Macaca mulatta: one gene and its partner. The protein of the gene in region 1 interacts with the protein of each later gene in a pairwise test. Links are inferred from orthologs where the notes say so. Each region holds a gene or a part of one and is shown in the gene's direction. Other genes may lie near its edges.

Region 1 (4,314 bases):
ACACGTGCTGCAGTTCCACCGTCTCTGCGCTAAGTTTCAGGCTGTTTGCCTAAAAAGGCAAGAAACAAGAGGGCTGCTGGTAGGAAGACTAGCAAGGAAGGACACACACATTAAAATCTAATACTATTTCTGGAATATTTTATTTGGTGAAGAAGGTTCAGAATCATTCCTGAGATGTGTCTCTTGAAGATCTCTCGCGGTTGACTGTGAGGTGGATACCTTATGGGTTTTGCTCTTGCCTGTATGTATCACCTTTGTTCTGCACAGCAAAGGGGCTCACTCAGCACCTGCTGAAGGCAGGAATATTCCGATGAAGGCCAACCTCATGTGACGTGGAGTTCTGGGAAAGTCAGAAAGTCCCATGGACCTTCAGAAACGCACACAAATATTTACTCCACAGAATCAATTACAGGCGTTAAAAAAAATACTGTCAACCTTGGTAGTGGGACTTAGGATATTTCAGTTTTAGTTTGCAAAGCACAAGAAGTGGGATGGGAAGGTGAGAGGGTGAGAATTGCGGCTAGCACCGTCATCGAAGAGTGTCTGGTCAGACTTCCATGTATGATCATTATGTATTGGATATTAAGGAGTGGGTTCCTCTTCATCTATTAGACAATGGACATTTGCAGCTGTAGCAGCAAGACCCACCTCAATGACCACCCACTGATCCAGGATCTGCTCCGAGCTGCAGTCGATTTGTGCTTTAGGGATCAAAATGCTGGAGGAGATGTAGTTCTTCTCCTCAAGGCCCTTACAGACAATGAAACGTGCAATAAGGTGAAACGTGAGTATGTCCTCCCTAGGCACTCCCAGGAAAAGTTCCTTCACGGGTGCTGCTCCTGTAGGGTTTTGTTGAGTACATAGGAGATAATGTTGATATCTCTTGTAGAGTATCTACAATGAATGAGAATACACCTGTCAGATGGTGAGCTCTTGAAGAGCCGAGCCTTATGTCCTGTGCATTTTATATTCCCAGCACCTAGCATGGTCTGGAACATCAGAGGATCTCCACGAATGTTTGTTAAATGAATACATGACAATCTTGTAAATGCTGATAATGGGGTGACAGTTGGGAAACTCATCAAAACCTGGAGTGCTCAGGAATTGTATTATGTCACAGGATTGCTTTTTGACCTGTTTAGTTATACCTAATCCCACAGATTATACCTATAATTTAAAGAGATACAAAAGATTGTATAATGTGTACAGCTTCAGATCACAGAGAAATATAGTGTGGGAGGGACCGCCTGTATTTAACTTTTAACAGGGCTGTGTTCTAGGAAGTGTTTGTGATAGGGAAGTAGAGATAACATTCTCTCTTCAGGAAGAAGTCTGACTCTAGAAGGGGAGGAACTGAAAGCCCCAATCCAGTCTCTGGGAACCCAGCTCAAAACTCTGACAAAAAGGTCTGCTCAGGAAATCCTACGGTGTCGCTGGAAGGTAAGTTAGAGGCTCCCTCCACCTGCTTTATTATTTCTGCGTATAGATGACTGTTGCTGTCCATTTAGGCAGAGTCAATTCCAGTCTAGCTTAAAAGATTCTTCTGAGACCCTTTAATCTTTCTGCATCTAATTCAAATGTCAAGCAATTTACAGTAATAGTTTCAAGTAATGCTTCCTCAAAGGTGAGTCAACATTTCTAAGAAAGTAGAAACGTTGGGTATAAAAAGTTCAATTTTTCCTCGTCGGAAAAACGATCCAAGACATTTCTACCGTGGGCTGAGCGCTGCCTGGAGGGCAGGGAGGAAGGGCTGAGCGGACCGGGCTGGCATGCGGGTGCCTGGAACTGCTGGTCTCTCCGTTTTCCCTGGCTTCTAAAGGTCTCTTAGCAGCATTTCCTGCACGCTGGCACCCCCTGTCCTCCTAAGATTTTACTGCCTGCGTGTTTCTCTGTGATTCCCCACCCTCCGACCCACCGGGCCCGGGGCGCCCTCCGGGGGCCGGCACACAGCAGGGTCTTGCTTCCTCGCGCTGTCTTCTTCATATGGGATCACTTCGAGATGCGGCCGTTTGGGCGTTTGCGCGGCCTCGGCGATTCTGTGGCGTCTTGGGCTGTGTATGTAGCCCCAGCGGCCGAGGCTCACGGATCCGAACGCCCGGCCGCCACGTCTGTCCCAAGTTGGGCGACGGGAGGGCCGGGTGGGGTCGCGCCTGCGCCAGAGGAAGGCTCAGAACCAGACTCGGGGTTTTTAACTTATTCCTCAGAGGGACGAAAGCGAGTACCGGCGAGGACGGCGACAGCTCTCTATAAGCCTGAGTCCAGGTAGGCTGCCCGGCCCTCGAGCTCGCCCAGCGCCGCTCATGCTGCGCTCCACAGCCCCCTCCCCAAGAAAGGCGTTCGGGCCCCTCCCGGACGCGCCGCTCCCGCGCGCCGCGGGGCCTGGGAACAGCGCACCGGCTGAGCCTGGTGCCCGGCGGGCGGTGAGACTGACGGCGCCCGCGCCCAATCGTGGGGCGGAGCCGAGGGGGCCTGCAGGCGGCGGCCAATGGGAGCCCACAGAGCGGGCGGGGGGCGGTGCCGCCTGGCGGGCGGGCGGTGGCATCGGGAGCCGGCGCGGCAGACTGGGAGCCCGGGAGGAGCCGGCGGAGCGAGAGGAGGAGGAGGACGGAGGAAGAGCGCCGCGCCCCCGCCGGCCGCCCGAGTGCAGGCCGAGAGCTCCAGCCGCAGCCGGCGGGTCCGGGCCGCCTCCGCCGGAGCCCGGCGCGGGGAGAGTCCGGGCCGATGGGCAGCCCGGGGCAGCGGCGGGCGGCGAGGCGGCAGCCCGGGTACGCGCCACCCGGCGCGCACAGGCTGTAGCAGGTCCCGGCGGACGGTGTTGCGAAGGTTCGTGTCGGGGAATCCGACGGGCAGCGTGGCGAGGGTAGGTTCGGGATGGCTACGGCCAGGCGGTGACTGTCCCGAAGGGGAAGGGGATGCCCTTCGGGGCGCTTCGGGGGACTGACGGCGGCGAGGGGCGCGGGGGTGCGAGGGGCACGGGGCAGGGTCCGGCTTGTAGACGCAGATGCACCCGCGCTCCCGGGCCCAGGCTAGGAGAGGAGCCGTCGCCGCCTGTTCTCTCCAAGTTATCGATCGTCTGAAAGGTTATTCCCGTGTCGGCGACACAGGCACTGAGGAGGACCTCCTCCAGGTGCCCAGAACTCCGCTCTGACTAACGCTCTCTGGAAGGGCTCGCGGTTGCCCGACGCAGCTCCCCCGGCGCGCCTGGCGGGCTGACGCCGAACTTGCTGCGGGGCTAATTCCCCTTCTAGAAGGGGTGCGCCCCGAGCGCGCGCCCTCACCGGGACGGATCCCTCTTTGTAAGACCGTGAGCAGCCGGGCGAGCGCCCTTCTCACTCAGCGCGACCTTTCTTCCCACTTTGCCAGCTCCTGTGCCTCCCCGGGTCTTCCCGTGTCAGTGAGGGTAGTTTGCCCACGTCCTAGGAATATCCCCAGGAAAACCTACAGATTAATTTTCAGCCGTGCCGCAAACCCAAAGAATCAATTTCGGCTCATCATCTACAAGAGGAGCCGAGGCTTCTCGGAAAGAGAGAACAACTTGGCATTACTCCTCTGGGAGATATTTGTCATCATTAACCTGCTTCAGTTAAATTAATTTAGCCCAAGATGACTCTGGCCTGAGTATTGGAAAAAATCAAGTGCATTGGTCACGGAATTATGCTCAACAAAACACGATTTTGGTCAAAATAAAATTGTAGACATTTTTGATTTGGTTAGATTGAGACTGGGTTTTGACAAGGATGGCTTTTTTCAAAAATCAAGGAAAAAAACCCTCAAAGAATCTTGGTGGTTCTCATGGCTTTGCTCAGTGAAGTTCAAAATAGTCGCACAGATTTTTCTTTTCTTTGCCTCTTTTGTCTGCAGTCTCCATTCTAAACGTTAACACTAGATGGCTTTCTTATGACAGACGTTTAGTAAACTGCCCATTTGAGTTGCGTTTGTGTGCAGCCTAGGTTGTAATTTTTCTAGTGTTACAATTAGTAATTGAAGAAAAAAGATCTCCCAAACTGTTGCTTTTTATTACTTTCCTAGAAAACCTACACATACCAGTATCTTTGCGGATATTGAGAGGTGGCCTATTATTTTTGGCATTCCTAAAGTTGAATTTCAAGAGACAACTTGGTTACTGTATTTAGTTACATCATTTAAGAATGTCTGTTTCATGTTTGGACTTAAAGAATTCAGAGTTCTGTTTTGTCATCCCGTTTAGACAATATTTCCACTTAAAAGATGTTTACTGCTTGATTGAATTTCACTGCTTGATTCAGAGTTATAAGAGAGTATTATTCATGAGAAAATGCCATCTTAAGTTTTGGG
Region 2 (3,666 bases), on another chromosome or scaffold:
AATTTACAGTCTGGAGCCCCCAAACCAGAAGAGAATCCGAGCCTCAATATACAGTTTAAGATCCAGCAGCTTGCTATTTCAGGTAAGGATAAGGTTGACTTGTAGTTAAGGGTAATTGAGTTTTGCAAGCTCAATTATTAGGCACTTAGAAGAGTAACAAAAGTTTCCCTCTCTAGAAAGAGCAGTAGCCCTTTGGCCGGGCGCGGTGGCTCACGCCTGTAATCCCAGCACTTTGGGAGGCCGAGGCGGGAGGATCACGAGGTCAGGAGATCAAGACCATCCTGGTCAACACGGTGAAACCCCGTCTCTACTAAAACTACAAAAAATTAGCCAGGCGTAGTGGTGGGCGCCTGTAGTCCCAGCTACTCGGGAGGCTGAGGCAGGAGAATGGCGTGTACCCGGGAGGCGGAGCTTGCAGTGAGCCAAGATTGCACCACTGCACTCCAGCCTGGGCAACAGAGCGAGACTCCGTCTCAGAAAAAAAAAAAAAAAGAAAAGAAAGAGCAGTAGCCCATTTGCCTTTTACACTGTGCTTGGTGGGGCCATCTCCCAGGCATCAACCAAATGATTTTGGAGAACACCTTATTTCAAACAGCTTCTCCTCACCTCTGCCCTCATTCAAGCACCAAAAAGGGAGTTATTCATATTTATAGAAAGTAGAATTATACTTCACAGACATTCCCTGCCTGTGTGTGAATCTTAACCAAAACCATACCATCAAAGTGCAATAATTTGTAAATGATAGAAGAGACATTTCTTCCAAATGGTGGAAGGGACACTGGTTAATGTCAGATTTACCATATAGTGCTCATTGCTAACATATTGGTTGGGATGATGATAATTTATTCTTTTTCATTCTTTTTGACACAGGCTTAAAAGTGAACCGTTTGGACATGTATGGGGAGAAATATAAGCCATTTAAAGGAGTCAAATACGTCACGAAAGCTGGAAAGTTCCAAGTGAGGACATGAGAAGAGGCCAAAATTTCTCAAGACCAGTTTGTTTTCCAAGTGTCATTATGATGTATTACTATTAGGTACCAAGTGGGTGGGAATAGATATTCTAGTTAAAGCATTTGTGTCTAGCTACACACCGCTAACAAAGTTGCTTAGTTATCAATGTAGGATTCTTAAGGAGCTTTAAGCTAAGGAAACCTTTTAGTGACTTAGCTTATTTTGTATCTTTTCACTTAGGAAGATGTTGGAGGTGATTTTTTTTCCATAGGAGAATACCATCTGACGGCTGCACATTGTAACAGTAAAGGCAGAAAGCTATAGTGATAACCTCTCTCCTAAAAGGAGTTAACTGGTCTCATCCAGCAGAAGCTATCTTAAATCTCTGATGTGTCAGGTGCAGCCAAATATCACACGTGATCTTAGCCATCCCAAACCAGTATCTGTCCCAAGAGAGGAAATTCCCCCCACCCCCAGAAGTTTACAGAAAACTGCCTCTTCAAGTGTTTGCCTTATTCAGCTTTTCACTTGTGCCATTAAGCAAGCACTGTAGCAAAAGCCACTTCCACATGGCCCTGGCAGGGAGCACTGCTGCTCCATGCTCCATTCTCTCTGTACTTGGTATTGTATTTTTTATAAATAAGATTTTTATGTAAAGCTTATTTGATTTACAGGGACCTTGCTGCAGTAAATACCATCTCAATTTTGTGCCACTGGTTCAGCTGTTAGCACAGTAAAAAAATCATTTGTATCACAGGGGCAAATGCTTTATTAAGGTAGTAAAAGGGAACATTACTTCTGCTTTCAGGAAGTTACTGCAAGCACAAGCATTTGTGCTTTTAAGCAAATTAAAGTAGTAAAAGAAAAACTTAAGTGAAACCTTTGCCATCTTAATGTTTTATAATATAAAGCTTACCCAACACCAGTTAAGCCATGGTTAACCTAAATGTCTCATGCCCCAGTTCAGCAAAAGGAGGAAAATGTGCCTGCCTCACTGTCATCAGTCTTTCTAAATCTTTTACCTTTTTTGTTGTTGTTCTTAAGGGGTTGAATTTGCCTGCATTCCTTGTCTTTAGGGGAAATTCCCTTTTCATATTGTGTGCTTCCCAAAGCTATAGTCATAGATTTCTTCCAGAAACTATTGTCATAATTGTCACTGGAGTGCTTAAATATACTTACTATACTGACAAAATACATGGAAGTGAGTTATAATGAGGCAGAAACAAAATCCTCAGTAACACTGATGATACTGTACTGATCACCATGGTTTTGGAAAGTCAGTCAACAGTTGTATTATTGCACTCAACTTCATTGTGTCATTTTATGTAACTTCTTCATCTTGGTGGTCCTTGCCCAGTTATTTTTTGCCTCATTAGACATCAAGAAATGGAGAAAGACTGAAAGTTAAGATATTCTTCATGTTTCCTTCTTATTTATGCTATTTTCTTCTCTTTATAGCTCCATTCTTCTTTCAGTCTTCTCAGCTTATAACCGTCTTTTCCTTATGCTAAGGATAGCCCTTACACTCATGCCATCTGTGCTGTCAAGGGCTGCTGGTTGGTGCTGGTACAAGGAGCCCACGGAGCAGCTTTCTTACCTTTGTCTGCCCTGTCTTTCATGGCATAAGAAAGGCAACGTTTTGCAGCTTCCCTATTTCTGAAGAAACTAATCTCAGATTGGCAGTTATTTTACAGAACTGCCAAATAGTCAAAATGTTGCCAAATATTTATTCCTTTTGCCTAAGTTAAGCTACCCAGTTCAGTTGCTTTTTATTTTTAATGTCTTGACTCTTCAGGGTTTGTACCTCAAAAGAACAATCAGAACATTTGCTTCGCTTTCTGCTGAATCCCTAATCTCAACAGTCTATACCTGGACTGTCCAGTTCTCCTCCTGTGCTATCTTCTCTTCTATCCAAGTAGAATGTATGCCAGGAGCTCCTGCCTTCTAGCAATTTCTACTAAAATGTCCAAATAGAATGTTTTCTTTTACAATCAAATTACTGTATTTATTAATTTGCTAGAATCCCGTAAATCATTTCGGTAGCTCTGGCTATGCTATCAATAAAAAGATGAAAGCAACAAGTTGATTTTTTTTTAGGTCTACTATTGATTGAACAATCTCCAATGGGCAAGGCTCGTTGTCAAAGCAGGATGAACATGATCAGATTTTCTTCTGCATCATCACACAAGCTGTGAGTGTTGCTGCAAAGCACTTCTCAGCACTCCTTCCCTAACCTCGTTATGTTAATAGCCATTCATACTTGGCTTAAGCATCACCATTCTGGCCACAGTCTGAGAGATTAGTGATCAAAGCTCCCTTCTCTATCACTACCACCACCTACTGATAACAAAGATTCCTGAATACTTAGTAGTAGTAAAATATTTTTCAAGCAGAGTTACAGCTAATCCTGGATCCCTTAGTTCTAAATTCATAAGGAAGCATATCAAGAACAAATGAAGTAGATGATTATTTCCAGTGTGTGGGAGTCACATTATTTTATCCAAAGGGAGTTCCTGTGATAGGTTCATTTCTTAAGTGGTGCTACAGTAGAAAATCAGGAACAAATACAGAACAAGATCAAGAAAATGCTGATCTTGTCCTAAGCGGCAAGTGATTTGAGAAAATGATTATACTGCAGCAGGAAGGCAGCACCAGTGAACATATGGTAAATGGCAAAAACAAGACAGTTCTGCTAATTCAGTAGTAGCCTTGA

What was found.
Region 2: the proteins of SIPA1L2 (region 1) and AP3M1 interact in binary tests that used the Homo sapiens proteins (3 or more experiments, as listed by UniProt). The two-hybrid records come from large-scale screens. The link is inferred for Macaca mulatta from reciprocal best matches to the Homo sapiens genes SIPA1L2 and AP3M1.

Annotation. Positions count from the first base shown.
Region 1 is NC_133406.1:16,421,766-16,426,079, forward strand, and holds the start of SIPA1L2 (signal-induced proliferation-associated 1-like protein 2), read left to right. Parts: upstream 1-1,282; 5' UTR 1,283-1,440; intron 1,441-1,713; exon of another isoform or gene 1,714-1,915; coding exon of another isoform or gene 1,916-2,166; exon of another isoform or gene 2,167-2,262; intron 2,263-2,271; coding exon of another isoform or gene 2,272-2,302; intron 2,303-2,558; exon of another isoform or gene 2,559-2,860; intron 2,861-4,314. Other genes in the region: uncharacterized protein LOC144337349, read right to left, coding at 583-894, 1,916-2,166, 2,272-2,302.
Region 2 is NC_133414.1:75,500,645-75,504,310, forward strand, and holds the end of AP3M1 (AP-3 complex subunit mu-1), read left to right. Parts: coding exon 1-82; intron 83-870; coding exon 871-971; 3' UTR 972-3,031; downstream 3,032-3,666. UniProt on the Homo sapiens protein: Part of the AP-3 complex, an adaptor-related complex which is not clathrin-associated. The complex is associated with the Golgi region as well as more peripheral structures.